4 linked regions of the Mytilus edulis genome follow. The protein of the gene in region 4 purifies or fractionates together with the protein of the main gene of each other region. This does not show direct contact. Links are inferred from orthologs where the notes say so. Each region holds a gene or a part of one and is shown on either strand. Other genes may lie near its edges. The genes, in order: coiled-coil domain-containing protein 6-like, TIP41-like protein, T-complex protein 1 subunit eta-like and serine/threonine-protein phosphatase 4 catalytic subunit.

Region 1 (8,621 bases), on a different chromosome or scaffold from region 4:
CACTGATTATTTTCTTCTTTTACACATGCTTTTTAATTTTCCTGTTTAAACATACACAAGTTTCTAAATTGTTTTTTAAGTGAATTAAACTTATTTTAACAGCGTTCTAGAATCATTTACAAGCAGTTTCAGCTTCTGTTTGATGATGGAAAACAGGTTTTTCAAAGAAAATACTGCAAACGACCGCACAGGATTTGAAATTACCGGAGTTTCATTAGACCCTATCTAACAGTTACAAAAAGTTTTATTACCTAATATTTTGTGGGGAGAAGCGGGTGCAAACAATAAAAGCCTTTTTACGTAGTTTCTTTTCAGTTCCTTTTTTTCACAAACACCAATTAATTTGCATATTATCAAGGTGTTTAACAATACACCATGCATTGTTAGTTATTGTTTTGTCTTTGTTTGTATATTAAAATGAGAAGATGTGGTATGATTGACAATGAGACAGCTATCCACCAGAGTTCAAATACATTTGTTGTAACAATGATATTAGCAATTATTGGTCATGTATATGTCTGCTATTTTTATGATGGAGTCGGTGTACATGATTGATATGGTATATTGTACTGTCAAGTTTACATCAAGTACTCAACAAATCAGTTAAATAAATGTAGCGTGAATAATCATGTCCTATCAATATGGTACTAAGTATGCTTAAGAGATCATTAAATGTCTTCCAATCAACTTAAAATATTACAGGTATTTAATGAAAACCAAGACTTCCCAGCTGGGCATATTAGGGGAACTAATAACACAATATAACAAACCAGGAATAATTTCATTATAAAATAAAAAATCTGTTCACAACTATGTACCTGTTCAAGAGTCACTTGTTTAGACAAGGTTTCTCTTTCTAACTTTTCAATCTTCCTCATCAATTTGTTAACTTGATATTCTTGTTCTTTTTCTAATGTCTCCTCCAGTTCAACTTTTTCGTTCCTAAGCTGTAAATCAAATAAGATTTATTCAAGAATTTAATAACACAATTTTTATAACAAAAACAATAATTTGTCCTTTATTTTGAAAGGTAAATGGCATGGCCCAAAATATACCAAAACTCTATTGTATGATTGGAATAAATTGATCCAATAATTCTTTAGGCTAAACAGTTATTTCCCAGGCTTATGTACCAATATACATTGCAACATTGATTGTAATCTGGGTGATGCAGGAAATTTATTAGCTTGACAATGAATCTAGGATTTGGGACAGAAACTGTCAGCTCTGGTTAGACAATTTTCATGTAATCTGTCTTGATTGCCCTTTGACCTACCACTTTCCCCAAAAAGACCATCAGACATCAGAGCCATCTCTGACTTACAAAACAATACCTCCATCAAGAATGCTCATAAAAAAGGAATGAATTTCACAAAACTGTAAAAACTAACCAAATGGCTGCACAAAATTAGGTGGACATTTTCAATGTATTAACAAACATCCTAAAAAGCCATTAAACTCTGGGTCAAAATACTCTTTATATGTTGTGACAGAACTCTACGACTGCATGCATGGTATTCTTTTCAATTTTATTTACTAATCCGAGGTATTAAACATCAGATGTTTAAAATAAGTATGAACTTCATTAGTACAAAAATAAATCAAATTTAAATTCTTAATATATTTCTAGAAAAACAAAGGATATGGGATACACATCCATGACACAAAATCAGTTCATGCACAGCAAAAAAAAAAACCACAAAAAGCAAAGGGACAAAGCTTTTATTGCTGTTCTTCATCCTCAAAGCAATCAGGTATACAACAGAGAGCAAAAAAAATCTTGCACCTCACTGCAAGTTTAAGACGGCCCCTAGCATGGGCTTGAGCAGAATTCTTTGCAAAATAATTTGGATAGACATTGTAAGAGGTAACACCACCTAATCGTTTATTTTTTTTCATTTAAGTTTACATGATCAAACTTTACCTGTGTTAATTTTCTGGACAAATCATTGGTTAAAAATTCTTCTTCTTGTTCATAATTCATAGCCAATGACTCTTTTTCCTTTTTCAGACATTGTATCTTCTTTAGTAAGGTATTACTAATGAATTCTTCCTCTTGTTCAGCTCTGGCTTGCTACAATATTTTAACAGTATTATTATAAAATGACCGATCTATTCATTCAACAAGATGTACATGTATATATCATATAAGACTATTGAAATTATCAAATGTGTATTAATTAAAAATAAGACACTCTTGCTATTCAAACCTTCTGTAACAGAAAGCTTTAAAAATGTGATTTTTTTTTTAAATAACTTGTAAAAATGTGATAAAATTTATGAGAAAAAGAATAAGATGTATATATATTTTTCGGGGAAAGGTATGTATAAATGTTAATATTAAAGTATTGTTTATAACATGTGTAAAGGACACAAGTTTGGAGGAGGTGAGCCTCCTAGATCATGCTCATGGAGATTTTGATTATGTGAGTGCTTGTTGTTTAAAATATAATTAATGATTATGTGATTTTATTTGTAAAAAAAATGATTATGTGATTACTTTGACAACCCCATGAGGGCCTCATCATTCTCATAGGTGGTTGGCATTTTTTCCCCAGAATAGACTTGCCTGGGCTTGAATAGATATTTTGAGGGCTGCCAAATCAGAAAATTGCTGTGAACACAGAATCCCAAAGCGGATAACTCATTTGAGGAACAATCCCTTATTTGCCAGGTTTTCCACATTATCTTATAAAACATTTTGATTTGAATCAATCAGAATTTTAATCATAATAATAGAGTAATTCAAAATCATGCCTTATTTTACTGATGTTCCTATCAAACAAACTAAAACATTGTATACATGTACCAAAGTCTATGAATCATATCTTAAATTTAGAAATGACAAAGAGACATGAAAGTCCTGTTAGTGACAAAATACAACAATGACAACTCAACTCCTGATCAAAATTAGACATTTTACGAACATTTCAAAAGATATACGGGGCGAAAATGCATTTCTTCAAATAAATTAACATTTAAAATTTATATGCTAACAATGTTGACACTGGCTTTCTGGAGTTCTTTTTTGTCCTCCTGTAACGTCTTGCATTTCAGTTTGTATGTTTCTAACTCCATTTTTAAAACTCTGTTTTCTTGCTGTAATGATTCGATTCTTTTCTGAAGCTGTTCTAATGTTGCTGGAGATGGTGGTTTAAGCGTAGGGCCCCCATCAATAGAGCTCGTATCACTTTCGAGCTCGCTCGCACTGTCCGCCATTTTTGTTGTTTTCTTTCAAAACGTGATCATTTGTATTTTCGAATTTAAAAATCTAACATTCAAAATACTCTGAAAATGTGTGAAATTTTGACAATCAAATTAATACGAACATATTGCAGATATTTCAAAAAAGTATTGGCTAATCAGAGAAACAATTAATTCGAAAACTATGTTCGTAAAAAGTCGGACTAATTAGTGAACTTTGCGAACTTTGCGCCGATTCTCGTCCGATATTATTGTGGATCTGGCCCCTGCTTAGCATGGCAAAACACGTTAATGTGTCAGAATTGAAGGTGAGAGACAAAAGACAAATGAAAATTGGTTGTATTGAATGTAGTTTTATTTATAAATGAGTCTACATGTCCGATCCAGAGACCGAGTAAAGAAATTTTGGATTTCTAAAATTCTAGTCAATTCGGCATCTGGTCAAATCGGCACCACTTATAGTAGGGTAGTACTAGTAATTGGGTTGCCTTTTGAGCAATAACGGTAAACAAATCTTCCAAATGATGTAACGGTAATTTTTGGTGCATGACGATAAAATGTACACTTTTTTTTTTGACAATAAGGATATCAACTGATTTTTACGCATCACATACACCTTATCGCTATTTGTCCGCCATTACTGGATATCACACAGGTTCCCGTAAAATTTTGAAGTCACAATACAAAATATCTGACGCCACAATGGAAAAGTGATTGTTGTATGCGTCAAAAGTTCAAGCGGCCGGGTCAGCCGGGATTAGCGATAAGGTGTATTGTCATTATTACACCTTATCGGCCGGCCGACCTGGCCGCTTAAACTTTTGACGCATACAACAATCACTTTTCCATTGTGGCGTCAGATATTTTGTTTTATGACGTCAAAATTTTTCGGGAACCTGTGATCCAGTAATGGTGGACAAACAGCGATAAGGTGTATTTATTCCCTAAAATAATGCTTGCAATAATTATTCGAGACCTCTGATAAGGATTTTTTGATGAATCACTGTAAAGTTTTAACCAATTTGATGCTAAAAAAGGTAAATAGCATTACTAGAAGGGGGCAGGACCTTTTTCGGGACGTCGAGATCAGGTGTTTTTCAGCTCGGGATTTCAGGATCTGGTACATTAATTCTTTTTTTCAAATTTCGGGATGTCAGGTTTTAAATTTCTTTAAATTCTGGATTTCATTTTTTTAAGCCCACATATTGGTATCAGGACCCCTCCTACCCCCTCTTTTGTTTTTTTGGAAAAAGATTAACGTGATTCTTCAGAAACGTTTGATTTTTTTTCCCTTTAAAGAAAGTTTACATATTTTTTGTCTTGCACCAAAAATTCCCAATAATGTCATTTTGCAAGAATTTTAACATTTATTTGTAATGGAGATACCCTAATAAGGACCTTCGTACAAAGTCTATTTCAACAACTAGTCAAATCAGTACCTGGTTAATTCAGCACCTGAGGTAATTTATTAGTATATATAAGTCTTATGTGTAGCTGCAGAACGGTAACTCGAATGGTCCTTTTTAAATTTTATGAAAGAGCTCTAGACTACAGCGTCAAAATTATCAAAAAATATCAAAAGGACATTAGAGCTAGGGTTCTGCAGCTATATATATTTGTTGCACGTTACAGAAGTTCCAATGGAAACTTTGTTACAAACAATGGGGCCATACATTATATTTGTTCTTACAGACCTTATTGATATTTGGGTGTCTGTACCTCTTGACCTGATAATCTGTGCCACTTGAACTATATACATCATGCAACAATCACTTTTCCTTTTTGGTGTATGTCAAAATTTAAACAAACATTTGTGATGTTCAGATGGCAGACAAATAGCAATAAGTTGTATTGGAACTCGTGTCAAATTAACATAAAGGAACCTCTATTTCATGACAACTGCACATAACTGGTAAACATAGGCTATAAGAATGGTGTCAATGTTTTTTTATTCCATACAACTAGACAGGAAATGCAGAGAAAAAAAACCAATCTGTAAAACAATGATTAAATTACTTTTTTTACCCAACTGTGGATTAAACAACTGCTTGAATTGCTTAAGGGAGATTCATGGTATACCGCCATCTTGGATTGTAATATTGCATTACACAATCAGTCTAGTTATTTGCCCAAATCTGCAAATTTGTAGACATATGTGGAGATTTATTGGTAAGACTGTTTATTTATATGAAGAAAACTTGCTGATTTATTGCATTAATCCAAATATTTAAACAAATACCAAACATTTGTGCTTTAGAATCATTTTTTTTTAACTAAGCCATTTAAGGGAAAATAACTCTTTTAGGAAAAAGAATATACTGGAATGATAGGGAAATACATTGTGTTCTTTAACAAAGACGATTTTACCACATTTAGAGAAAATTTTATGACTTACATGTACTCAGTAAGCAATATGCGATGCATCAATAAATTCCTTTAAAAGAGTATTGAATACTTTAAATCCTTTAAAAGAATAATTGCGAGCTGGACCATTTGCTTATGATCTAGGTTTTCAATTACTTGATTTAGTAGCTAGTTTGCTGTAGATGTACCTTTAAAAGTAACCCAATTAAGGTTGAAGCTATTTTTTTCAGGGATTTGATTGGTGGGTGCAGTTCAGAAATCCATATGATACCATAGAGAAACATGCTTCTTTCCTTGGAGTAGAAATAGTTTGTTTTACAGGAACTCTGTTAACCCTCATACATGGTAAGTGTAAATATGATTGGTTTACAGAAGTAATGCTTACATTTGTACAAATGAACATGTTTATAAATGAAAACTTATAAGACTTTATATATAAATATACCTCTCTACTTTTTTATGTTTATACTTTCCCTTGATGGTTGATTTTCTTTTTTAATCAATATGGGATTTCTTGATCGCTGTTCTTCATCATGTTCATTTGGTATATATTCTGTTATGAAGTCAATATTCTAGCTGTCTCCTGATTTTTTTTTCGCTATAAGGATGTCACAAAAAAGGCAACCATGCCAGATGACATCACATACATGTAGGATCAACATGATCTCTATTCAAATCATTAAAAAATAGGTATATAGCTGAACTACATAGATAATTATTAGAGAAACAAATTGTACCATTGTATCTTGTTTGATGTGATTGTTTCTCCTGTTTCTGTAGAGATGCACCATTGTATCTTGTTTGATGTGATTGTTTCTCCTGTCTCTGTAGAGATGCACCATTGTATCTTGTTTGATGTGATTGTTTCTCCTGTCTCTGTAGAGATGCACCATTGTATCTTGTTTGATGTGATTGTTTCTCCTGTTTCTGTAGAGATGCACCATTGTATCTTGTTTGATGTGATTGTTTCTCCTGTTTCTGTAGAGATGCACCATTGTATCTTGTTTGATGTGATTGTTTCTCCTGTCTCTGGAGAGATGATCAAACATTTAATGAGAAAGTGTCTTATTTGGAATTTGAGAGGAGATTTATCTTATTACAATTGATGCAAGGGTAGAAATTATATTTAACATTAAATATGTACTGTCACAATTTAAAAGTTGTAGTACACTACATACGACTGAAAACCTTTAAAAGATATGTTTGGTAAATGTTATTTAGTAAGATAGCAACCCCAAAACATTTAAATATTTTTATTTTTATTTTACTGGTAACCATATTTTCTTCAAGGAAAGACACACTTTGAAGGCAGCTATATAAATCACCGGAGTTTAGAAAAAGGCAATAGTAAATTAAACATATATTTAGATTTGTTGTTCATTAACATATTTACATTTAAGTGCTTCAATTATATTACTACAAGTAAATATACCGGAATTTGTTGGTTTGCTTTCTGTTGATCATATGTTGTGTATGATTGAAGAACATTTTGTTAAATCACATGTTAAAAATGTATTAATCTGTTCTAAAATTATGATTCAGATTCATAAGAAATAACTTTCTATTTTGATTATTTCAGCTTTAAGAAATGGTGGTCGATTTAGATGGTTATGGCTGGCAACTCTTTTCCATGGAATAACAGTGGAATGTGTTTCTTATTTCATACCAGATATTGATAATTTCTGGCATGCCCAAGGTGTAGTAACCTTCCTCGGACTCAGGCTTCCATTATACATCGCTTTAATATGTAAGTGTTTAAAATAACTTTCAATAACAGAAATAAAATCTAAATGTTCATGTGTTTGTTTTTTTACCAGTCTCATTTTTATAAAAGATTTTTAAATATAAATAACTTTGCCAAACTATTTTGGTCATAATCTTAATTATCAAGACAGCACTCAGCAATTATGTGTTCTTTTTTCTTCTTTCATTTTTCTGATATAAAATGCAATCACCTTTACACCTTAAAACTGACACTCTGACAGCAATGGAAGGTGAGAGGCATGGTTCCTTACAACTCTTTGCAGGTTTAAAACAATGTTTTATCAGTCCTTTCATTATAAAGTTTACAGCTGCATACTACGTGGATTTACAGTAACTAAATGGATTATACTGAAACTATGTCATGTATTTCAGGAGGAGTGTAGTCTTTAAAAAGTTGTTTTTTGTTTTGTTTTTTTTTGCAAGCAAAGTCAGGACTGAAGTGCATTGATACATAAACAGACTACTATCTACCGGTACCAGTAATTCAGGTAAATCAGTCATTATTCTTCACAAAAACAATTTCTTTGCATCACAACTTGAAAAGGGAGATGAGATTGAATATTATTTGTTTGTTTCATTGTAATACATTACTGTACTTTCCCTTAATTTCAGATCCCTACTTTATATATACAGCCTCAGTAGCAGTGTCACACATGAGGTTACCCTGGTGGGGAGAACCATTTGCAGGTTTGTTAAAACTAGAATAACATTGACAGATTCTATTACCAGTACTTTTTATTTTTACAAAGTATTTTTTTTGTATCATAATCTGCTAGAAGAGCAAAAGATGCTTTGATTTCTCTCATCTCTATGCTGTCATAATGTTTGATGTAAGCAGTAATAATCATAAAATAATCGATTTTCTAATGAGAGATTTGACACAATATTAATCACATTTATTTCTCATACCCTGTGTTCTTACTTTGTTTTGTTTTATATTGCAGTTGGTGTATCAGTTGTATTGATAGACCTGCCTTATGACATCATGGGTATAAAGTCGTTATGGTGGACCTGGCATGACACTGATCCTAACATTTACGATCGTCATTATTGGGTGCCGTGGACAAGCTATTACTTCCATGCAACATTTGCATGTGGGTTCACATTTGTTTTCCATGGAATAAGAAAACTTCTGGATAATCAAACAGAAAAATGGGTCTCATCAAGGTGAGTAAGATTTTGAGTTTTCTTTATTGATCCTTCAAATTTTGGTATTTGCTATTTAATAAATCATGAAAAATCGATTTTAGATGGTAGCAAGAGAATATAATCTATCACCACAGTGTACA
Region 2 (7,804 bases), on a different chromosome or scaffold from region 4:
AAAACTCAAAAACTAGAATAACTGTGCTCTCCCAAAGTGATAACGTTATATTCCGTCCATTTACAATGTATAGGGGCCCTGTATACGGTAGATGAGAGAAACATTGAAGGCGTGGTGATTAAAGTGAATGAATATGGCGGCTATAAATTTGGAACTTAAGTTGGACAAATAAAGAGAAGCTAGGTCCATTTTTTGGCAAATGCAACTTTAAATGTGTCTGAAGTCCCAATGAGTGATATGAGTGTGAGAGAGATAGTGCACAAGTTATTATTGAGAGGAGGGCAAGTTTTTGTGCATTATCAGTGTAAGAAAGGCAGTTGTAATTATGGTAGGTGTAATTGTAGAAGAATGAATGTTTTGAGCAACTCAAGGTGTCACATGTGTCTGTCTTTTAACAACAAGTAAAAAATTTAATGTTTCTAAAATGCATGAAAATGTAGTATTTTATGCATGCTGTAAATAATGCACCTTCTTTTGCTTTTGATTATTGTTCTTTATTATTTAATAAATTTCAATAATGCATGTATATTCTGCTTTATTATTATTTTTAAAGTTTTGTACAGGTTAAAACCATTTTTAAGCTATATTTTGTACATGTTATAACATGTACGGGGTCATTTTGTGCATGTTATAACTTGTATTTTAGCATTGTACAAATTATAACATGTACAATATTTTTGTACATGTTATAACCTGTACAAAATTGCAACTTGTACACGACATATACAATTTCATATATGTTAGCTACTCTGTAATTGGGCCTTTTGATACTGGGTCATGTAAGAGCTATTATGGAAGCAATATTAAAATAAGTGCAATTTGAAAGAAAAAAAAAACACCTAATTTATTCCCAAGAATATGCCATGACCCAATGCATTCTTTATTTGCTGGACAAAATATTATTAGTTGCCAAAACTCTTTTGAATCAGACATTTCTCATAGCAATCAAATCTCACATTACATGATCACCTTTGATTATAACAAATGTATAACTTTACCAAACTTGTTATGCCATTCATCTTTATTTTTCAGATAATTCTGTGTTTTGTTTTGTTTTTTTGATTGAAACTGTGATTGGTCAGTTAACCTGTAAATGAAGATGATCTAGTAACCACTTTTCTCTCAAAGCAGAGACAAACTTAACAATAACAAACCTAGCCTGTCTCCAAGCATCAGATACAGCCACTTTGAGTAAATCGTTTCGAGGGTCCACCAATCTAAGAGCATCAAGAGCATTGAACTCCAAACCAAATCCTGCTGAATGTTCTAAACGTAGTAAGTTATCAGCAAACACCATCTCAGGAACCTGTGGAAGTTCCAATTGACTCTCGAATCTAAAATGACATTAAAGATATTCACCCAAAATTTAAATCTATAAATGAGTTAGTTTGAACACATTGAATAGAGTTAGGGACTGGAGCAACCATTTAACTTCATTATTTTTTTGTCTGAGTCAGAATTGCCTTTTTTTTTTATTTTTCAAAGCTATCCATTAAATCATTTTGGTTCAAAATTTAACACTATAAAGTATTGGTTTGTCATCTGCATGACCACAATTTTTTTTTTCAAATTGGGATCAGAATGGTTTTTAACCCCCTTTCCCGCTTTTCAGTCTTTACTTTACCTTTCAATTGATGTAATTTGTTATAGAGTTAATTTTCTTGCCATTTTGAAGGGGTCAATATAGATGATTTTTATATTTGACTTAATATCCAAATTGAAATATGCAGTACAAACAGGTCTGACAAAAGATGGATCTTATATGAATCAAGAAAGGCCAAAATAAATCAAAATTGTTTAACAGTCTAGCAGTCGGTATGACATGTTGAATTTGGCTGATTTATGAAGGACTTAGTCCTCCACCATGGCAACTAAAGGGCAGTAACTCTTGATCAAATTGTGTTGATCTGAACCTTTCTATTGTTAACTTATACATGTATCCTGGTCTACTTAATTTTAATAATAAAATATAAAATAGATAGCAGTTGGTATCTGTTTGTTGCTCATTTTACAAAATTCCTTCCAACTGTTTTAAGGTACAAAATGTTAAAAAGTGAATTTCTAATTGCTATTACTTTTGTAGTTTTTTTTGTTTGCGAGTTGAATTTCCAATAATACAGTATATCAACCTCAGGAAAATCAATATGAGTGTAATATAACAATTTTTTCAGCTTTTAAGGCTCATGACAATATGCATTGGTCTTCAATCTTAATTGACTAGGATAGTCAGTTTTCCTGACAAAGTCTGGTAGTTCTCTTCGGGTACTCTGACTTCCTCACTAATAAAAAAAATGGCAAAGATAGAAAGTGATGTTGAAGACCAATAATCAATCCAAATTTGGCAGCATTCCTCCTGTTACACACTGATTGATTGAGCTGTTTAATGTCATGTCAGCTCAAACATTCTATGTTATGGTGAGTTAACTTTTCACAGTGAATGGCTCAACTTTTTTGGTGTGTACTGCAGGTTTGTGTAAATTGTAATCATCTTCTCATCATTAGACATTACCTCTCTCTATCTGGACCTTCCGATTTCAGAATGTGTGACTTTATAGACGTACAACGCCATGGTCCAAACTGGAATTTCTCTGTAACAGATCTAGCTTTAGCTGCAGTACTGTCACCTCCCATCATCCTGAAAAATATATGCATCTAAGAAAATTATAACCTAGCTTTTCAAAATAAGAAAACAAAATATTCATCTTATGTTATGGAAAATGGAGATCTTCTTTCACATAAACCACTACAAAAGATCTAACACAAGGCTGCTGCTAAAATTTATTTGCCTGAAATCCGGGTCTGTTTGACCCAAATCTGACACGTCTGTTTCTACACATGTTCTATACACATTATCACGAGTTGTCCGCCATTACTGGATATCAATAAAGTCATGAAAGTTCCCGTAAATTTTATACGTCATAATAGAAAATATCCGATGCCACAATGGAAAAGTGATTGTTGTATGACGTCAAAAGTTCAAGCGGGACAGATTCTCAGGTCAGCAGGACAAAATTCCAAATAGTGATAAAATGTTTGTTCGCCACCTTTCAGGTTCACACCCCTGGGTAGGTTTAAACCCTTTTTTAAAGCTTTTTTTAAAGGATTTGTGTTGAATAAAATTTCAATCATGCTTTAATAAGTGTATTGCTATAAAATTTAAAAAGAAGTCTTTTTTTTTTTTTTTTTAAAACCTTGTCATTTTTGTGATATATATGGTTGAGCTTTCGACCCAGAGAAGCTGATATTCATTTTTATCAATATCACCAACACACTTTGACAAAAAAATATGGCAGTGTTTAAATAAACTTAAGATTCTTGACATGAATTTGTCAAGATTGTATGACAGTGTGTACCTGATCATCAAAAAAATAACTTTTTTTACATGTTTGCCATAAACTGGTTTCTGTAAATGTCGTTTTGTTTTTATTGTTTAAGTTTAAGTTCCATCACTGTAGTATACCAGATTAATAATATTAATTCGATCAGAATTTTAAAATTTCATATTCATATCAATTAATACTAGATATAAAGGAATAAAAAAAGTTAACAAGAGTTTTGCGACATCTTTTGCGGAATAATGTGCAAAACGAATTGCCTGTAATTTAAACAAGTAGTAGCTTTTCTAAAAAAACTAGCCGTCTCTTTGCTTAAGGAATATCATGAAAGTTGGGAAGTGTTTTCACTTTGTAGATTGATTCATTCAGAATGCCTTGTTTAAATTGTAGCGGATTACAAAATTAAAAAAGACTTAAATTGTAAAAATATTCAAGTCAGTACTCCATGACTCAAGTTACAACAAAATATATAATTTTATTTACGAGTATACGTTATTTTATTTAGTGGCATGTAGTCCAATATTATGGTTATCTTTCTTGTTTAACATCTCACCCCTTATTTTATTGATTATGTAATATAAAGAAGGCGCTACCTTAAATGCCAGCTTTGATACCAACACTATTTCCAAAAAACTGATGAGGGCCCTCATGGGGTTTTTGATTATGTGATTACTTGGCCGTTTTTTTAAAGATTATTTGATTATTAAGCCAAATATTTCATGATTATTTGATTACCTAGGACTGTATTTTTAGTTTATGATTATTTGATTACTAAAGATAAGCAAATATTTAATGATTATGTGATTATATTGGCAAAAAAATGGTGATTATGTGATTACTAGGACCCCCCCATGAGGGGCCTCACTGATTGTTTATTGGTTGCTAAAAGTCCAGTTGCAAATATTTCATGCATGTTCAGGACGAATGTATATATATAATTTTTGTCTAAAGTAAAAAATAATAAAAAGTTCAGAGGGAAAATGCTTAGGGAATGATTATGAATTTCAAAGGGCAGGAGGGAGTGTGGTATTTTTCTAGTCCAAATAATTATGACGTCTTGAAAGCCTATTATATTATTTTCTTTGACACGTCCCTGGAAGGCGTCAAAGCAATGATTTAAAATAGCCTTCCTAGAAGTCAAAAATATTTGGACCAGTATTTTTCTATTTTATTGATTTTGTATTATACATTGTCCGTTCAGTGTATGTTCACATGTAACTGTTTTTGTTAATATGCTTTTTGATTGCGTTAAGCCATTTCAATTGATATTCTATAGTGAGTCTTTCTATGTTGTGATGTTACACTATTGTTTAAAATAAGGGTGAAGTTTTGGTACCATTAAAACATTTAAACCCGCTGCATTTGTTTGCACCTGTCCTAAGTCAGGAATCTGTTGTTCATTGGTTGTCGTTTGTTGTTGTGGTTCACAAGTATTTTTTTTATAAAGATTAGACTGCTGGTTTTCCTTCTTGAATTGTTTTACACTAGTCATTTTGGGATGGGACCCTTTATAGCTTGCTGTTTGGTGTGAGCCACAGCTTCGTGTTGAAGGCCATACTTGGACCATAACAGTTAACTGTTTACAAATTGTGACTAGGCTTTGATGGAGAGTTGTTCTTGTCTTTTTACAGTATATACTTACAGTAACTGAGATCACCAATGATTTTGAGTGGGGATCGTGTTGCCCAGTCTTTTCTAGTATTGCTGTGTATTTTGAATACTGTTGTTTGTATTTTGATTGTTGTTGATCCTTTTTTTTTGCCATGGAGTTGTCAGTTTGTCATCGATATATGAGTTTGAATATCAGTCTTTGATATCTTCCACCTCTCTTTAATTGGGGACTAGGTTTAAGTAAATAACGGCAAAACCCAAACAAATTGTATTCATCTTAGCTTTCCATATACATATGTATACTGCCACTTTCCAGTGTCAACCTGAATAATTCACGGTTGGAAAAAGCCAAATAAAAAAATAATTCCGAACTCCAAGGAAAATTCAAAACGGAAAATCCCATATCAAATGGGAAAACCAAAAAGCCCAAAACACATCTAACGAATGGAAATCAACTGTCATATATTCCTGACTTTGTACAGACATTTCCTTATGTAAAAAAGTATGCATTAAACCTGGATTTACAGCTAGCTAAACCTCTCACTTTTATGACAGTCGCATAACATTACATTATATTAACCACAATGTCATTACAGTGAGTTGACTGTTAGTGTTGCTCTCCACCAATTGCAACTCATTCAAAATTTTGACCAAATTGCAATTTGTTTTATAAAATCAAATTGTTCAACTGGTCAGAAATTTGAACCAATTGCTGTAGAAAACCACAGCCAAGTCATGAAAGTGCAAGGTGATAAAATAAAACATACTTACAATCCTATAAGACTTTAACTCCACTTTAATGATGTTGTGACAGAATTAGTTTATCATAAAATTGAGAATGGAAATGGGGAATGTGTCAAAGAGACAACAACCCGACCAAATAAAAAACAACAGCAGAGGGTCACCAACAGGTCTTCAATGTAGCGAGAAATTCCCGCACCCGGAGGCGTCCTTCAGCTGGCACCTAAACAAATATATACTAGTCCAGTGATAATGAACGCCATACTAATTTCCAAATTGTACACAAGAAACTAAAATTAAAATAATACAAGACTAACAAAGGCCAGAGGCTCCTGACTTGGGACAGGCGCAAAAATGCGGCGGGGTTAAACATGTTTGTGAGATCTCAACCTCGCACTATACCTCTAACCAATGTAGAAAAGTAAACGCATAACAATACGCACATTAAAATTCAGTTCAAGAGAAGTCCGAGTCTGATGTCAGAAGATGTAACTTAAGAAAATAAACAAAATGACAATAATACATAAATAAAGTCAGACTACTAGCAGTTAACTGACATGCCAGCTCCAGACTTCAATTAAACTGACTGAAAGATTATGATTTCATCATATGAACATCAGTTTGTAGAGTTATATTAAAGTCATTTCCATGCTGAAGGGGAAGTTCCGAACTTTTTATTTTGAATTGCTATTAAATTGTCCAAACTAAGCTTTCATATAGTTTTTCTTTCTAAAAGTATTCTATATTTATAAGAATCAGACATTATGTGAATTAAAAATTTTCATATTCAGTAAAATATGTGTAAAATTGCAATATATGTTTGTAGGAAGTTTCCATGGGGGAGATAATAACTTTTCTTTCAAAAAGGCTTTATTCAAAAGAATAATATTTAGGTTATCTCCCCTGAAAACTTATCAATAGCATATTGTTATTTCACACATATTTTACTGAATATATGATGTTTTATTTAAAATGATATCTGATTCTTATAAATATAGAATACTTTTAGAAAGAAAAACTACATGAAAGCTTAGTTTGGACAATTTTATAGCATGCAGTTCAAAATAAACAGTTCCTCTTCAGCATGGAAATGACTATAATATAACTCTACAAACTGATAAACAAATTTTGTCGCAACATCATTAAAGTGCATGGAGTTATAGGATTGTAAGTATATTTTATTTTATCTCTTTGCACTATCACATATTGAATGAACAATTTGTTCAATATTCTGACCAGTTGAACAATTTGGTTTAATAAAACATATTGCAATTGGGTCAAAATTTTGAATGAGTTGCAATTGGTGGAGAGCAACACTAACAGTCAACTCACTGTAATTACAATATTCATAAGACAAAGTTTTCATCTCAGTCGAAATTACTGTCAATTTGAACAAGATATATTCTTGATAAGATTAAGCTGTGCCAGTGTTTGTAACTTGTGATTTACTTTTGTATACCATTTTTTAATACGTTTTGCCCATCATTATCTATTCTTTATAGTTTAGCACCTCATTATTCTGAGTCTCTATTCCTTATTTGTTTTGGTCCATTTTTCTCTTTTCTTTTATGTTTTACCCTTTTTCTCTATTCTGTAAACCCTATCAACACCTTCTATAATTCGTTCATATTTTGGTGATGCACATACAACTTGATTTAATGTTATGATATTTAAATGTAATTCGATCTTCAGCTTGGAGAACGATCATTAGTTTTGTCTTCTTCTTCAAAGAAATGTGCCACGGATATGAAATAAAAAATCATCTATTTTTAATTTCCGTTGATTATATATGTTCATGCATGTGTCGCAACGTTGAGCACTGTGGCCGATTTACGGAAACGGCAGCTCGAAGTAATGTGCTCCTTTTATTGGGACTGAGCGCATTCGATTCATATCAAATGTCAATAAGAGCCGAGTACATTATTTTTTACTTAACGTTTTAAGCATTAATGCCGATTGGTTTTGAGTGTCAAACAGCACCTTTTAAGGCAAAAGACTGAGCTTTAAAAAAGAGAACTTTGGATGACCACTTATTCTTTGTCCTGATTTTATCTGTCTAAAACTGCCACGCATTGTTTACAGCATGACTTACTTTAATTAAGCACATACAAAATTCC
Region 3 (8,047 bases), on a different chromosome or scaffold from region 4:
AGTTACCTGGTAAATCACATCTGCTCAATCTCAAAATGATTTTTGTTCAATGTTCATACATGATGTAGTGTACTACATATGGACAAATTATATCAAAATCATAGAAAACATAATCAGCTTAAACTCAAAATATGGGTACTTTTTTGTTGATTCAGTTTGACATCTTCAGGCATACTAATTTTTTGATTTTTTACAACTGGACCAAATCACTGCTTTACCATAAAATGCCTGACCCTTTCCATCTTTATTTAACACCTTTTCTATTAGAGATTGGACATGAATGTAAAACAGGGAATATTTTTATTGTAATATAATTAAATGCTATGCAGAAAAACTTGTATATCTTTTTTTCATCTTTTTTAAAAAGATAAGAATATTACAACAAATTGTAGGTTTTACAAACTATGTAAGAGGTCATAGATACCTCCAACAACTCTCGAAAACTCTGACAGATATCGATGATATTGTCATTACTTTACCACAGTTGTGACACAAGGACCAAATATAAAATTGGCTTTGCTGAATGATCAGTGGAGTTTAAAACTTAAATATTTTCGTATTATTCAAAGGAGGTATCTAAATAGATATTACAAATTTGTAATGTTCAGATTCAACCTGGAAGAAAAAATATAGTTTAACCATATTTTACTACCCACCTTTTAATAATTAGAAAAGCATAAATACAATTATAAGTCTCAACTGGTGTAAACAAAAACCTTTTATCAATGCATATATATATTCTAGATAGGCAAAAAAGTTATTGAGATTATTTAAGATATTTCCTGTAAATTTTAACCTTTAAAGAATTTTCTACATACCTGTATGATATAAATGCAGAGATGTGGTATGACAGCCAATGAGACAACTATCCAATGAAGTTAAAATGAAGTAAATGTACATGTAATAGGCAACTGTAACAGCCTTTAACAATGAGAAATGTATAAACTAACCTCTGCATCCTGTGATTTAGCTATGTCTACCAATGTCTTGGCTGCTGGGTGCACAATATCTAATGTCTTCAGAATTGTAGCTCCATCATTTGATATAGTAGCTTTACCTATAATTTATAAAGTCTCTACATAATTTGTTTCCATTAAATGTGACAAAAAATCTACATACATGTACAATTAAGATACAACTTCAGTATTGTCTAACTGCAATTTAACAAAATGTGTTTGCATATTTTTTTTAACTAAAGAGATGTAAAAGATACCAAACGGACATTAAAACTTACAAGTCCACATCACTGGCAATGCTGTGGCAAAGTAATCACCATGAAAAATGACAAAAAGACAAAAGGCACTGTCAATTATGTTTAGTGGACCCTAAAATTAGGGTAAAAACTCTAATTTGACATTAAAATTAGAATTATCATATCAACATGATAGGGAATATGTGTATAAAGTTTCAAGTTTGTTTCAACCTCAACTGCATCAAAAACTACCTGGACTAAAATCTTTAACCTGAAGCAGGTCTTAGTCATGTTAAATTCTTTCTTACCCTGATCATTGATAATGAGTTTGTCCATCCCCCGTGGACCAAGTGTGGTACGTACTGCATCAGCAATGGCCTGACAAGCATTTATGTTACTAACAATTTGAGGTACTCCTTGTGAGGAGTCTGTACCCTCTTTCAGAAGAATTATCTGTGGCTGCTGCAATACAATAAAATCACACATTACTTCAGTTAATTTTAACATTTGTTGTAAAAAAAGTTTTTTTCTAAAGTTGGTTGTCAGTTCATTGTCTCCCTTCTTTTGAACCAAGGTTTTATTCAAATACAGGTTGAATAATTTGAATTGTTAGTAAAAATGTTAAAAAAGTAATGGATAAAAAATCATATCAAATAAAAATCGGTGGATTTTTCAAATGAAATTATATTTTTGTGATTAGATAATCAAATATAAAAAGTTAATAATGGTACATGTATTATTGTTATGTATTTGTAAATCATGATTGTTGACGTTACTAAAAATGAAGCGTTGGTGTAGTTACAAAAACAATAATATATCATTTTAAAATATTTCTGACAGTGATCTTTAAATTTGGAATAGTGCATGATTTGATTGATTTTGAAAGCTTAAAAGATCATTATTGTTTATTTTTTCAAGCTTTCAACATGTTTTAACACAAAGAATAAATGCTCTATATGAATACCATTGATTATGACAATATTTATTAATATCTTTTCGTCAAAATAATTCACAAAACAATAAAGGAAACCAATTTACCTTTTAAAAATGTTATAAAAATAAGGACGTGTGGTATGATTGTCAATGAGACAACAATCCACCAAAGTTCAAATAAAGTGGATGTAGGCAATAGTAGGCAACTGTACAGCCTTCAACAATGAGAAACAAACAGTACATCTGTACTTTTTTCTTTATTTAAATTTCAACAAACCAAATATGTGATTAATAAATTAATCAACACAAACCTATACAAAAGGTCAGAAGAAGTGAGAGACGACAAACAGTGGGATTATATAAGATTATATACAATAAACATGATAAACCAGGCATATATAAAATTCTATATAGATGCGAAACATAGAAGATTACAAAGAAAGTACACATTTTCATTCTAGAAAATTCACAGTTAAAATAAAGGCCTTTGGTGACCTCAAAAGAATTCTAAAACACTTGATGCAATCAAATTTAGGGATGCTAGGATTTAAAACGTTTCCAGCTGCAGAAAGTTTTTTTTTAAAATGAACTAAGCTATGATCATTCATAACAAATAACAATCAATATCTCAATCATTATTATAAGGCATAGCCATAGAGTATACATTTACTAGGGCAAGCTTCGAAACGTCAAGGCAACCCTTGTAAACCCAAGACCAAAACAAATGTAATTTTGTTTTCTTAAAATCAATGGCAACAAAGAATTGTCAATCGAAACAAAAAATCGCAATTCTATGACTTTTTAATCTTTAATTTGCATGAAAACTATTTATTTCATCTCTTGTAAAAATAAAGAGAAAACATGATTGTTCAGGAATGTTCTAAATGTTCTAAAGGGGATACATGTGTATACATGCATTAAACATGGGCATTTTTTATCAAATCAAATAACAAACCGAATATTTTTGGCCACAAAATAATTTAAGAGAAACTTATAAATCACCCAAAAAGCAATGAAATGTTTTTAAACCATTTAAATCGGTAGATGGTTGTCGATTCTAAACAGGCTTTCAAAACGGGAACCTACCATTTTGTTGTCTTTAATGAAGAATGCATGTAAGGGTAGATAACCAATTTTCCCCGCGGATTTGAAAATTTTGTTCATGCATTTTATTTCAAGTTGTTATACCTTGCAATATTATTGTTTGTACTATTATGCCTCATCATCATGTGAGGCCTTTTGTGGAATAAAAAAAGTTTCAAGTTTCAAGAAATTTATCAAAAAAGGAATAAATCATGATTTTTTTTTCAGGGAGAGAAAGTAAAGAGATAACATTGTCTTTGCATCGGAAATAAACACATTTATTCTAAACCAGTTGTTGGAATGATACAGGTTATATATATGATCATATATGATAATATAAAAGAAAAGAAGATGTGGTAAATGATTGCAAATGACACAACTCTCCACAAGAGACCAAATGACACAGAAATTAACAGCTATACTAGTGTAGGTCACCGTACGGCCAACAATGAGCAAAGCCCATACCGCATAGTCGGCTATAAAAGGCCCCGAAATGACAATGTAAAACAATTCAAACGAGGAAACAAACAGCATAATTTATGTACAAAAAATGAACGAAAAATGAATATGTAACACATAAACAAACGACAATTAACCACTGACAGGGCCGTAACTATATTGAGGCAAATGAGGCAAATGCCTCATGTAAAAATAAAAAATAAAAAAATGAAACAAAAGGTTGTTTTCATATCAAATTATTTTCACGGAAAGTGTCTTGCAAGAAGCAAGTTCTCTTCACTCTCTGGTGTATCCCCTGGATGTTTTTCGTTATCCATGTTTCTATGTTCCTTTTAGTTTTCAAAGTTGGTGGTCTCTGTGTTCCGGGTTTGTCTTTTGTTCATTTATTGTCCTACGTCATGACTATAGTCTGAGCTTTGATTTTCATTTGTAAACGTGGTTTTGCAATGTTGCATGTCCACCGATGTCCAGAATTGTGCGAGAAATATATTTTAAGAATATGCGATGCTACTCAGTGGAATTGTCCTTTCTGCATGGATAATTGAAATTGATATCAAAGAATACAAAACAGTTTTTTTTTGTTTTTGTAAATAAAACTAGATAGCTGACATGGTTTGAATTAAAGTAAGGTCACATATTTCCCGGTATCAAATAATTTGAAGAAAAAAAACAAGGTATTGCCATATATGGTCCGAGTACACAGTTATCGTATATAGTCCCTACTGTGGACAGTGTGTTACTTGTCAATTTTTTTTATACCCCTTCCAAATTTATTTTTTTATGTTTTATGCCTCAAGTAGCAAGAAGGGGGATAAAATTACACTGTAAAAAAATTTGATTCATGAATTATAATGTAAAGTAGTGATTTGGTCCAGTTGAAAAGGGTCAAAAATTAGCATTTCGGAAGCTGTCAAAAGATTTCAAGCCCCCCTTCACATAAAATTGTCCATATTTTGAGTTAGAGCTGATGAAGTTTTCTATAATTTTGATATAATTTGTCCCAAAAGTAGTACAACACACTGTAAAAATATTATGGAGAAAGTGCAGGTGGGATTTTTTTTATTTCCATTTATTGTCTAAAGGAAATGCACTACGAAATAACTGTGTACTCGGACCATATGACCTTTTACATTGAAAGGTAAGTCGTGTTGAGACCCTTTAGCAGATAATAAAGGAGTATGGGGACATAATCGCACACAAAGTCAATGCATAGAAAAAATACAAATGATCAATGGTCCGCAAAGTTTGTGTTCCAGCTCTTCATCTTGATAGTTGCCGGATGGTCTTCAACAATACTTTTAAAGAATCATTAATACCGTAAAAGATCGTAAAACAAGGTGGAGATGGTCCCTAGTGTGGACTTAGCAGTACTAGTACTTAAAGTATAATACTGCAATGTCACTATATTTAAATCTAGTCATAAAAGACCTCATAAAAAAGTCACCAAAGTCTAATCACATTGTCGAAAAAATATCTAAAAATTAATTAAGCCGTTTTAAAGCAAGAAAGAGTCTGGGAAACGCTCAGAATGCACGATTTTGCGTTATTTTTCTCAGAGCCTCTGGGGGCCTTAAGCAGCCCCTAGACCGCTCGCCCAAAATTTTTCGATTTATATTTTGCCTCACTATTTAAAGGGGCTAGTTACGGCCCTGACTGAATAACAGTCCTGACTTCTCATATTTTTTTTATCATGGTATGACACTTAACCCCTAACCGGAGAGATTGTGCTGAATGAATGAATGATCTTTATTCTCATAAACCAAATACATAGTTACAGAGAAGATATTACAATAATATATATTACATATATAAGATATAGCATGTGTGAAATACAAATTAATATGATAAATATTTACACAAATGATAAATAAACACATAGTTGTATCAGAGACATATATACACATGTGTATATATGTCTCTGGTTGTATTAACCAGGAGGATAGACTTTCACAGAAATAGATTTAATAAATCTACAAAGTTTCTCAAGCTCAACAATATTTTGGGTTGAATATACTTGTTTGAATTTGATAACATTTATATTTTTATTACAATATTGTGGTAAGTATTTGCATCTTTCATCTTTGAAATAATTACATGACATGATATAATGGTATTCATCACCAATGTCAGCTGAGGCGCAAAGGTGACACAATCTTTCAGATCTTGGGATGTGGCGCCACCTTCCCGTCTCAATGGGAAAACGGTTATTCCCACATCTAAATTTACATAAGGTTATTAATAAATTAAATGGTAGTACTGATAAATAGTGTTCAAATTTAAAAACATTTTTGTACAATCTATAACACAGCCCCTTGGGCGAATTGTTCATTTCTGTTGACCATTCTTGAATGAACTGATCTCTTAATCTTTGCTGAACACTCAATACAACCCAATGTTTCTCAAAAAGGTTGTGACTTTGCCATATATTTGACATTCCACAGTCATCAAAAATTTTCTTTATATATAATATCCATTTACTATCATAACCATAGTTATTGAGATTTACATATAACAGCTTATATAATAAACATGATAGTTTGCTCTCTTTCCCTTCTTGTAAACGACACCAGAAATTAATCATACGTGACTTGACGGTAACTGAAATCGGGTATCTTCCCAATTCCCCATAGACCATAAAATTGGGGGTTGAATTTTTTAACCTCAATATATGTTTGCAAAAACGCAAATGAACTCTCTCAAGAATATCTAAATTTTCAAATCCCCATATCTCACACCCATAAGTTAGTATAGGAACAATAGCCTTATCAAACATATCGAGTTGGCACTCGATCGACAAGTTATTTAATCTGGATTTTTTTATTACTTGATATTCATATAACTTTAAATAAAGCTAATACTAACAATGACCACAGCCCTTTTCCCGATCTTGATATCTATATCACTAATGGAAAGCTGAATACTAAAATTTATGATAAAAGGGATGATTTTTCATTTCCTATCGTTAATTATCCGTTTTTAGATGGTGACGTTCCCTTGTCACCATCTTACGGTGTTTATATATCTCAACTTGTACGATTCGCTCGTGTATGTAACAATGTTTTAGATTTTAATGAGAGAAATTTATGTATTACTGAAAAATTATTACACCAGGGTTTTCGATATCACAAACTAGTCAAAACATTTACTAAATTTTATCATCGGTATAAAGACATCATTCGTAAATATAGCTCAACATGCAGACTTCTAATACGTTCAGGTATTTCACATCCAATTTTTTATGGTAATATTCTTTATAAAGCACAAAGGTGTCAGTATTCACCTCAGAAACTTACAAAACCTTTGAATAGACTTATTAAGAAGGGATATAATTACGATACTGTTGTCAAGTCATTAAAGATTGCATATGTTGGCGTTAATATTGAGTCACTGATAAGGTCTTTGCATCGGAACTAAACACATTTATTCTAAAAACAGTTGTTGGCATGACACGGGTTATGTTCTTCTCATATATGTTATGATGGTATGATACTAAACCCCTAACGGGAAGGATTGTGCCTGATGTTCATATGATGAAATCATAATCTTTCAGTCAGTTTAATTAAAGTCTGGAGCTGGCATGTCAGTTAACTGCTAGTGGTCTGTTGTTATTTATGTATTATTGTCATTTTGTTTATTTTCTTTGGTTACATCTTCTGACATCAGACTCGGACTTCTCTTGAACTGAATTTTAATGTGCGTATTGTTATACGTTTACTTTTCTACATTGGTTAGAGGTATAGGGGGAGGGTTGAGATCTCACAAACATGTTTAACCCCGCTGCATTTTTGCGCCTGTCCCAAGTCAGGAGCCTCTGGCCTTTGTTAATCTTGTATTATTTTAATTTTAGTTTCTCGTGTACAATTTGGAAATTAGTATGGCGTTCATTATCACTGGACTAGTATATATTTGTTTAGGGGCCAGCTGAAGGACACCTCCGGGTGCGGGAATTTCTCGCTACATTGAAGACCTGTTGGTGACCCTCTGCTGTTGTTTTTTATTTGGTCGGGTTGTTGTCTCTTTGACACATTCCCCATTTCCATTCTCAATTTTATATGATGAAGATTGTGGACTATTATACTAATATGATTATAGTCACAGTGATGACATAATCTTTCAATCAGTTTGATTAAGGTCTGGAGCTGGCATGTATAACTGCTAGAACACGGCCGACACTCGGCTAACCGAGAGATTGGTCGGTTAATCTATATTGAGTATGCGGCTATATCGGCGGTTGGTCTGTTAATCGGGTTGGCTAAAGTCTGTTAATCAGGTGTTATCGAGAAAATCATTGAAAGTTCAGCATGTTTCATTGTATAACTTTCTAAATATATTTTCATCATAAAAAGTATTCATGTCTAACAAAACAATTCAATGTAATGA
Region 4 (8,735 bases):
TACCAATCAAAATTACTGTAGTATGTATTCCATTCATTAATTGTTCAGATGTTCTCGACTCAAATATTTTTGTTTTGTCAAAAGAAGTAGAGAAAGGGGGAAAGCTACTTAATAAAATGCAAGTTCAAGTTTGACTCTTCGGAAGTCAGTTAGTTACTCAACAATAGGTTGATAACTCCCGAGAAACCGGAAGCATTACATTGGCGTTTCCTAAATACTGGACCAGGACGGAAAAGTAATGATAAAAATCCGCGTTTTACAAAATTGAACGTCGATGATTGGGAATCCGTAACTATTCGACTTTGACCGTAATAGCGTAGTTTATATCGCAAAATCGGAAAAACTACAGAAAAAATCGTAATAGTTGGCATCTATGCTATAGCTGTTAATTTGTGGAGAGTTGTCTTAATTAATTGGCATTCATACCACACCTTTTTTTATGTATAGTATAGTGATGTTGGGCATTAGCAAACAGCAGGGAAAAGTGGTTGTTTTTTGTACTAAATTTCTCCTCCACATTTTAAGCTTCAGTTAAATATTGAACACTTATTAAGTTTATAAAATTGTTAATGGATTTTTTAACAATCTTTAAAGGAGATAACTTACTGTTACAGGAGAATCTACACGCTGTACATTACTTTCTTCTACTAAAATCTCTCTGGCTTTGGCACATAATGCTTTCACTTCACTCTCTTTAATTATTTCACATCTTCTCAGTTGCTCTATTTGTCTACAGAAAAATAACAATAAGTACAGATGTTAACTTTATAGTTTATTGACATCATTATGAAATAATATACAGGGTATTACATTGTAGTGTTCTTATCTAAAGCAATTTAGCATGGCATGACGCCACATATTTTTTGCTGACCTCTTTCTTCTAAAAATTTGCCGCCATGTGCCCTTTAGAGTTATCTGGATTGAGAACAGGTTGAGGTATAGGGTGTTTTGCTGATCAAAGTGCGACAAACGTTGACTTAAGTTAGTTGCATGTTATTTCAGACTATTAATCACTTCCGCGAGTACATCATATAATTTTTAGTTTCAACAAAATAAGTTTGTTACTTCGTTAGAACTTGATGAAAATTGCCTTAAAACTTTTAAGGTGGTACCTTACACTACAGGGAGATAACTCTGTAAAATCAGCTAAACGTTTTAATTACGTTGTGTTGTTTAGGGAATATTAAGCTGCTCGATGATCAAAATAAGTGTTTGTCAAACTGCTATATAACCAGTGTAATTTTTCTTTTGTCAAAGTGTCAAAGTAAATACTTTGTCAAATTTTATGAAAATTAAACGAGTCAAATTAACTTTAGTTAAGGTGTTGGGTACCACCTTAAACCAGCTGCATTTGCTTGCACCTGTCCTACGTCAGGAATCTGTAACATAGTGTTGTTCAGAGCTTTTTGTTTGTTGATGTGGTTCATAAGTGATTCTCCTTTCTTTTAAGATTAGACATTGCCAGTTTTCCCTTTAAAGGCTGTTTGAATTGTTTTACATTACTGATTAGTGACTTAAAGACCCTTTATAGCTTCCTGTTCAGTGTGGGTCAAGACTCTGTATTGAAGGCTGTATTTTGACCTTTATTTACTTTTCATAAATTGTGACTTGGATGGAGAGTTGTCTCATTGGCACTCATACCACATCTTCTTATTTCTAAAACTCAACAAAGTGTGTTTCTAATTTAAATAGACATTAATTTATACATTACAAGAACAGATTACGAAAATAAATGTATACCAGTTAAAAAAAATATGTACCTGTCTAAATCACTTATTTCACTCATGCTTCTGTGTTTATCTGAAAAAATAAGAGAGAGAAAACTATTGAGAAATTCATTTTCTGCATTGGTCTTCTCACTTCAAACTTTTTGGTTTAAAGTATGTCATGTAAACACTTTTTATAGTATGTAAGGGTCATTTCAACTGTAAGCTTAGAACACATGTTCATCATGTTCATTAATTCAGAAGTGAACGGTTTAATGCATTTACAAGAGGTTGTTAAGTGACAGCAGAGGTTGAACCCTGAACAGTTGAGCTAGTATGGACACAACATTAAAAATTTAAAACAGCTGAATTTGGATTGTGATTGAATATTTAAAATAGATTATTAACTTATTAATAATTACCAGGGTCCAAACACTCCTGCAAACTCTTGATGAATTTAAAAAAATTGCTAATTTTAGTCAGTTCAAAAATATCAAAGTCATTCTAAAGATTTAAGTAAGTTGGAAACTGCTCCAGGTGATCTGTCTTTATAATCGTTAAAGACAAACCTGGCTGCCTTATGCTGTACCTGCTCAACCTGAGTGATATGTTGCTTTTTGTGGTATCAGGTTCGTTCGCGTCCAATACTTTCGCACTTCGCACGTTCACACCCAAGGTCCGTTCGCACTCAATTTTAATTCAAATTCCAGTTGAATAATTGGAAAATCCTGATTGTTGTTATAAATTGCTTTGGTGTAATTAAGTAAAACATTCAAGATTTTAAATGAAAAACACACAAGATAATTGTTTTTAACAGCTTGGTCCCTTTGATCTAAAACAATAAAATATAGCAATACACAACTCTATTATAAATTATAACCAAATCATGATAGAATTTATTCAACACACACAAAAAAACGGTCAGAATCTCACTTTATTTTGAAACAAGTCAATGAAACAAAGTTATAGCAACACACTTACCAAAACATGATTAAGAGTTATTCAACACAAAATAAAACGTTGACAGAATACCACTTAATTTAGAAAGGATTTTTTTTTTTAACAATACACTATCCAAAACTGTGATTAAAATTTATTCAACGCAAAAAAAAATGCTGTCTCACTTTATTTTGAGACAATGACAACAAATATAAGAATACACTTGCCAAAACTTGATTAAATACAAAACCAATTAAAATTTGGCGTGAACATGTAGGATGCGAACAGACTTTGGGTGCGAACATGTAGAGTGCGAAAGTGGAAGGGGGCGAACATGAGTGGGAGCGAACGTGAATGAGCGCGAACTGACCCGGATTCCTTTTCATACGGATCCCAGACAGGGGAAGAGTATTCGAGTTTGGGATACACTGTAATTCGTTTTGATTGGCCTTCTTTATTTTGAGACTGACAATGCTACATTTTTCAATATAAAATCTTAAACATATTCCAATCTACCATTTGTAAGGTTTTCTAAAGTTGAAAGTAAACTTTTTTTACGTTCATCTTTTTCATGAAATTTTTTGTCGTTCACTATTTTCTTTTTATCCCAACATGGACAATATGTTCAAGAATTCACTGAATATAAAGAAAACATAACTTGACTCACAATTTTATTACTAGCATCGATAAACATGCAGAAAAATGGACAATGGGGACAAGATTAACCCTAAAAATGTGTACCTGGTTTGCTTCTTCAACAAAAACTTGTCTCTTCCGGTCACTTCTTGCGTCACTAACGAAATAACAAATGTGCGAGACTCTTTTAATTTTTATCAAATTTATAATTTTTAAATCTTTTATATAATTTGTATTCCTTAAAAGATTTAAAATTTTGTCCTGATTTTCAAATACAATTTCTTTATTTTATATTTTTTTAATCAAAATATATAATGGTACTACTAATCACCATCTTTTACTTATTGCAAATAGAGTACAAGAACGAACACATATCATTTTACATGTTTAAAATCAAGGATTTGTATAGTCGTACTATACAAATCCTTGTTAAAATCAAATCAAATAATGTTATTGGTGTAAATTCCTATACAGAAATGATACCAGCCGACATTTACAAAATACAAATACAAAAATAAACAAACAAACAAACAAACAAACAAACAAACAAACAAACAAACAAAAAAAACCCAACCAAACATATTTTCGGGGAAGTTTTACACACCTACCTAGGAGTCAAAAGGCTACTCCCGTATTCGCAAGAAGAAGAAGATTTTCTCAATGATCATGATAAGAGATATATATTTTATATTTACATTGCGTGGAGGTGTTATTCATACAATATTATTAATTCAAGCTATTACAATCAGCTTTAATACTTTAAAAGCTCTTAACAACATTATATTTGCTTTAACATGTTTAAATGAATGTTCAAATCATACATGTATATCACTTAATATTCCAGCTACACTTACAGTACTAATTAATGTCCGTATCATTACTTTTCAAAATGAAACTAAACTTATCTTTTAAGTGATATAGTTCCATCTTTTATAAATATGTGTGAACAAGATAAGTTTAGTTTCATTTTAGAAATAACACTTTTGTTAAGGTCCAGTAGAAGATATTTTTCTAAATCAAAATTATTTTTAACTTTGCGATATATTCTTAGTTTATTACCATGACTATTACCATTATTAGAGTCACAAAAAAGAGCTTGTTTCCAGTATTTTCTGAATTCCTCTTCTAATTTCTTTTGAAAGGAAAAGTGTAATTTTTTCATTGACATAGTATTTTGATTTTCCCAGACATGCTGAAAACCAAGTTTACCTAATAACACTTTTAATTTACTACAAAAACCATTAGGAAAGTTTAAGTTTTCATTGTATGCTTTCTTTACCATACTCTCACTGTCCATAATAATGATATGAAGCCAGAAGTTAATTGTATTTTTAAGGGCTGACAATGAAAGTGGGAATAAACCTAATTCAGAAAGTACAGCATTATTAACAGCACCTTTATTTACACCCAATAAAAATTTAGCAAATTTTATTTTAATTTTATTTGGACTGAAGTTTGCATAGTTTGACTCGATGGTAGTATTTTGTTTCACTAAACTAATAGTAGCCCAAACTTCACTGATATATAACAGAATAGGTTTAATGCATGAATCAAAAAGCTTTAAATGTGGTACTAAATTCATCTTTTCAGAAAATAATAGTTTTCTAATACAAAATATAGCTTTGCTAGCCTTATCAACAGACATTTACAGAGGCATTGGCTGTCAGATTTATTAAGATCACCGGTTTGACACAAATTTTCATATGTTAATTATAAAATATTACAACGTTTATCACAATTGTAAAAAGTCAAGTTAAAATAAACAATGTACCTCCGAAGACTGCCGACGGACGTCAGTCATATAACCCAATATAACCGTAATATTAATAATAAAATTGAGAATGAAAATGGGGAATGTGTCAAAGAGACAACAATCCCACCATAGAGCAGACAACAGGCAAATTCCACCAATGGGTCCATGAATATAGCGAACACGGTAATTGGATTTTTCTAGGTCTGTTTGATTTTATGTTATAGGTTATAGAACAAAATGTGTTAATCATCCGAAACTCTGAAAATGTTTGTATATATATCTATTAATTGTTTTTTTTTTCTTTTTCTTAAATCCATTAGCAAACATTTTTAAATTTTATTCAGTTTAATAACTATAAACAATCTGGCGTTTTTGAACAAACATATATTTGTGCTTTGGCAAACGCTTTAGCACTCAATATAACTATATAAAAGGCATTCAGTTCCTAATTAACATGTTTAATTTGGTTTGAGTAAATGGCAAAACAAACTTTCGTGAAAGTACAACATAAACAAAGACGAATACCTTCTGTATATTTTAACTTTTTGAGGCATTTTATTTATCTTTAAACACCACGCTTATTCTTGAAAGAATGATCCTGCACATCATGTTACTGTTGGATTTGTTTGTTAAGTCATGACTTCTTTATTCTGTATGTATTTCATTTTTTTTATTACAAAATCCTTTATTCTTTCACAGTTTTCTTTCTATTCTTATAGTTGGACTCAATTTTAACACGACGGGTGACTGCATGTGTGGAGGCAATTCTGCTTATGCCTCCGGAGCACCAGAGATCCGGTCCCACCTTTCCCTCGGTAATTTTGGGGATTGCATTGCCCAGTCTTTACTTTTCTATATTGTGTTTTGTGTACTGTTGTCCCAACCCCCTCGTTTTTTCCATGGCAGTGTAAAAAAAATTCGTTGTCGACTTATAAGTTTTACTTTTCTTTTACTCACGGTCTCAATGACCATGATGACAATATTCAAGAATGGCATGTCTTTTTTAAATTCGCCTTTGATCTTTATTTAAAGAGAATTAAACGGCATGAGTAAATTTATTGAGATTTCGTATTTAAAGTATGCTTTCCGAGTGTGCGTATGATAATCGTGTGCTTTCCGAGTCCACACTTAGCGGGACAACAATCTACAGTGTAAGTCGGTTCGAATCAATGGGATTTTACGGCACATATAGTATCTTGAAATGCGTTTGCTAATTAAAAAAACCCCGATTGTTCAAAAGAAATGTTTTTTTGAGAGGATGCAGTTGCTTAAATCGTCACTCTTTTTTTCGCCGCTATTTCATCTATATGTATTTAGTCTAGTCAGCAGTTACCGGTGTCTACTGTATTTGTGTCACTTTCTATTTATGCATCGTATCGAGCTGTAGAATGAAGCCGTCTGCAACAGATTGTTTTCCATTTTGTTCTTTTGTTGCATTAAATCATTTTGACTGAGGTCAGATAGATTCATTGAGTGCTCAAAAACACGTATACCCCTCCATATACTTTAGTTACATATATACTTTATTTGTACAATGCATTATGTCATCCCATAAGTTCTTAACACAAATGTATGGCCTTTGTTAGTCTTGTATGATTTTAAATTTTAGTTTCTTGTGTATAATTCGGAGTTTAGTATGACGTCCATTATCACTGTACTATTATGCATATTTTAGGGGCCAGCTGAAGGACACCTACGGGTGCGGGAATTCTCGCTACATTGAAGACCCATTGGTTGCCTTCGGCTGTTGTTTGCTCTATGGTCGGGTGGTTGTCGCTTTGACATATTCACCATTTCCTTTCTCAATTTTATTTATTTTTATGAATGTTGTAAGTGAATGTTGTAACCATAGGCTTACATTTCCGCAAGTTCTGTCACTCTATCATATGCCCTTTACATATATGCTAACCATGCCATATAAAAATGAGAAGACATGGGATACTTAGCAATACTTTCAATTTACATGGTAGTTTGTACGTGTTTTAGTTAAACCCCACCCAAGTGGATCCTTTAACATGTTTAAATTGGAAATACATTCTTCTTTATCTTTTTAATTTCCAAAAAAATACAAAAAACAATCTATGAATAAAATTCACGAAAATAAAAGATTTTTTAACAAAGGCAAGGTTGCAATAATCTCTTTGTCCGATTCAACTTCAAGTTGATAGAATGTCCGTTACATCCCGGATAAATTCAAGTATGGATTAAATCAATGATTACATCTGGAATTACTAGTATAACGTATAATAGTCCCAGATTAAATTCAACACAAATGTACATACAAACAAAAATTTGGTATAATTGTCAAGAGACGAAATTAACAACAACAACAACAATTATTATTTTTTTGAGTCTCACAGCGAGCTCTTTAAAGATAGATAGATACTTTATTCTCTAAAAACTAATTTAAAATACAAGTTTACAGAGAAACATACAATATAATTAAGCATGTCACTAATGCAGTTTGCTCCGTTCTTTTACGCTAGTTTATTAGTGCGTTTATTTATGGGAACGGCAAATATTTGCCTACACCTAGAGCGCTTCGATCCCGAAAAGAATTGCCGTATGTGTCCTATCAGAATCGAAATAATTCATGGGGGCTTGAATATATCTAGATTTTACCACGGGTTGTCCCTTTATGCCGATATTTTACCCTTCGCTATCGCTCAGGGGTAAAATATTTGTCATAAAGGGCCAACCCGTGGTAAAATCACGATATATTCAAGCCCCCATGAATTATTTCTTAAATAAATAAACACAGTTTTCTTAAGACAGATTGTTTTTTACGATTAAATAGTGAGAAAAATGAAATTATATTTGGGCTATTTGAAAATTTAGTTTGTAGAAATAATTGTCTTTCGTTCTTCAAATGCGAACAGCAAAACAAATAATGAAATTCGTCGCCTTTCTCACTGGAAGTACACAACGAGCATGTCCTTTCATTTTAATCGGGCAATGTTTTGTCGTCTTCCCTTTTCTATAGGTAACGCATGGTTACCTGCTCTGGATTTACATAATGTAAACAAATGTTTGACTTCAAGAATATTCAGGTAGTTCTCAAACTCCAATGTTTTTTTGGACAGTCTATATAGTTAATACATTTTGGTGAGTTTTGTATTGAAGAATACCATGTCTGTTTGTATTGGTCGATTAGCCTCATTTTGATGCTCTAATTAAGCCACTTTGAGAAATGTCCATTTTGTAGGTGAAAAAATATTTGCAAATCCGTTCATGATTACAATATCTTGAACATATTTAATCAATTTGATGCTTTAATTGTTTACACTGTGTTGATAATATGCAGTCTTGTAGATTAATGAAGACAGTTTGTTTTCGTCTGAACATAGTTTGCACCAGAACGAAATAGTTCGGCATTTAATGCTGGTGTCACAAGTGGGTATCTACCCGTTTCACAATAATGCATAATGCCTGGTGTTGATTTTTTCAAGTGCGATATATATTTCAGAAAAAAAAATGATATAAAACACAATATCAATTTATAAAAGAGCCACTCTACAAAGAGTTATGAGAGAGACTAAAAACACAGATTAAAATACATTTATATTATATCTATATAACATATATATCAGTATATCTTAGCACTAAACACCATACTATTAAAAACAATTACACAAAAGAAAACAAACAACATTATATGTACACTTTCTCCTAAAAAATACTTCATGGCAGATTTTGGCATT

Evidence for each region.
Region 1: the proteins of serine/threonine-protein phosphatase 4 catalytic subunit (region 4) and coiled-coil domain-containing protein 6-like purify together in Homo sapiens (affinity purification with mass spectrometry; 7 studies listed by BioGRID and IntAct, counting the BioPlex papers as one, with this or other methods). This does not show direct contact. The link is inferred for Mytilus edulis from reciprocal best matches to the Homo sapiens genes PPP4C and CCDC6.
Region 2: the proteins of serine/threonine-protein phosphatase 4 catalytic subunit (region 4) and TIP41-like protein purify together in Homo sapiens (co-immunoprecipitation; 6 studies listed by BioGRID and IntAct, with this or other methods). This does not show direct contact. The link is inferred for Mytilus edulis from reciprocal best matches to the Homo sapiens genes PPP4C and TIPRL.
Region 3: the proteins of serine/threonine-protein phosphatase 4 catalytic subunit (region 4) and T-complex protein 1 subunit eta-like purify together in Homo sapiens (affinity purification with mass spectrometry; 4 studies listed by BioGRID and IntAct, with this or other methods). This does not show direct contact. The link is inferred for Mytilus edulis from reciprocal best matches to the Homo sapiens genes PPP4C and CCT7.

Annotation. Positions count from the first base shown.
Region 1 is NC_092352.1:18,225,795-18,234,415, forward strand, and holds the start of coiled-coil domain-containing protein 6-like, read right to left. Parts: upstream 3,253-8,621; 5' UTR 3,220-3,252; coding exon 2,998-3,219; intron 2,075-2,997; coding exon 1,925-2,074; intron 948-1,924; coding exon 819-947; intron 1-818. Other genes in the region: uncharacterized protein, read left to right, coding at 3,480-3,512, 5,799-5,913, 7,148-7,315, 7,945-8,019, 8,277-8,499.
Region 2 is NC_092353.1:75,586,274-75,594,077, forward strand, and holds the start of TIP41-like protein, read right to left. Parts: upstream 3,331-7,804; 5' UTR 3,323-3,330; coding exon 3,273-3,322; intron 2,636-3,272; coding exon 2,510-2,635; intron 1,335-2,509; coding exon 1,155-1,334; intron 1-1,154. UniProt on the Homo sapiens protein: May be a allosteric regulator of serine/threonine-protein phosphatase 2A (PP2A). Isoform 1 inhibits catalytic activity of the PP2A(D) core complex in vitro. The PP2A(C):TIPRL complex does not show phosphatase activity.
Region 3 is NC_092347.1:85,968,553-85,976,599, reverse strand, and holds the start of T-complex protein 1 subunit eta-like, read right to left. Parts: upstream 3,304-8,047; 5' UTR 3,290-3,303; coding exon 3,212-3,289; exon of another isoform or gene 3,158-3,211; coding exon of another isoform or gene 3,155-3,157; exon of another isoform or gene 3,128-3,154; intron 1,655-3,127; coding exon 1,501-1,654; intron 1,058-1,500; coding exon 951-1,057; intron 1-950. UniProt on the Homo sapiens protein: Component of the chaperonin-containing T-complex (TRiC), a molecular chaperone complex that assists the folding of actin, tubulin and other proteins upon ATP hydrolysis.
Region 4 is NC_092349.1:81,644,732-81,653,466, reverse strand, and holds the start of serine/threonine-protein phosphatase 4 catalytic subunit, read right to left. Parts: upstream 3,467-8,735; 5' UTR 3,390-3,466; exon of another isoform or gene 3,387-3,389; intron 1,805-3,386; 5' UTR 1,787-1,804; coding exon 1,761-1,786; intron 731-1,760; coding exon 607-730; intron 1-606. UniProt on the Homo sapiens protein: Protein phosphatase that is involved in many processes such as microtubule organization at centrosomes, maturation of spliceosomal snRNPs, apoptosis, DNA repair, tumor necrosis factor (TNF)-alpha signaling, activation of c-Jun N-terminal kinase MAPK8, regulation of histone acetylation, DNA damage checkpoint signaling, NF-kappa-B activation and cell migration.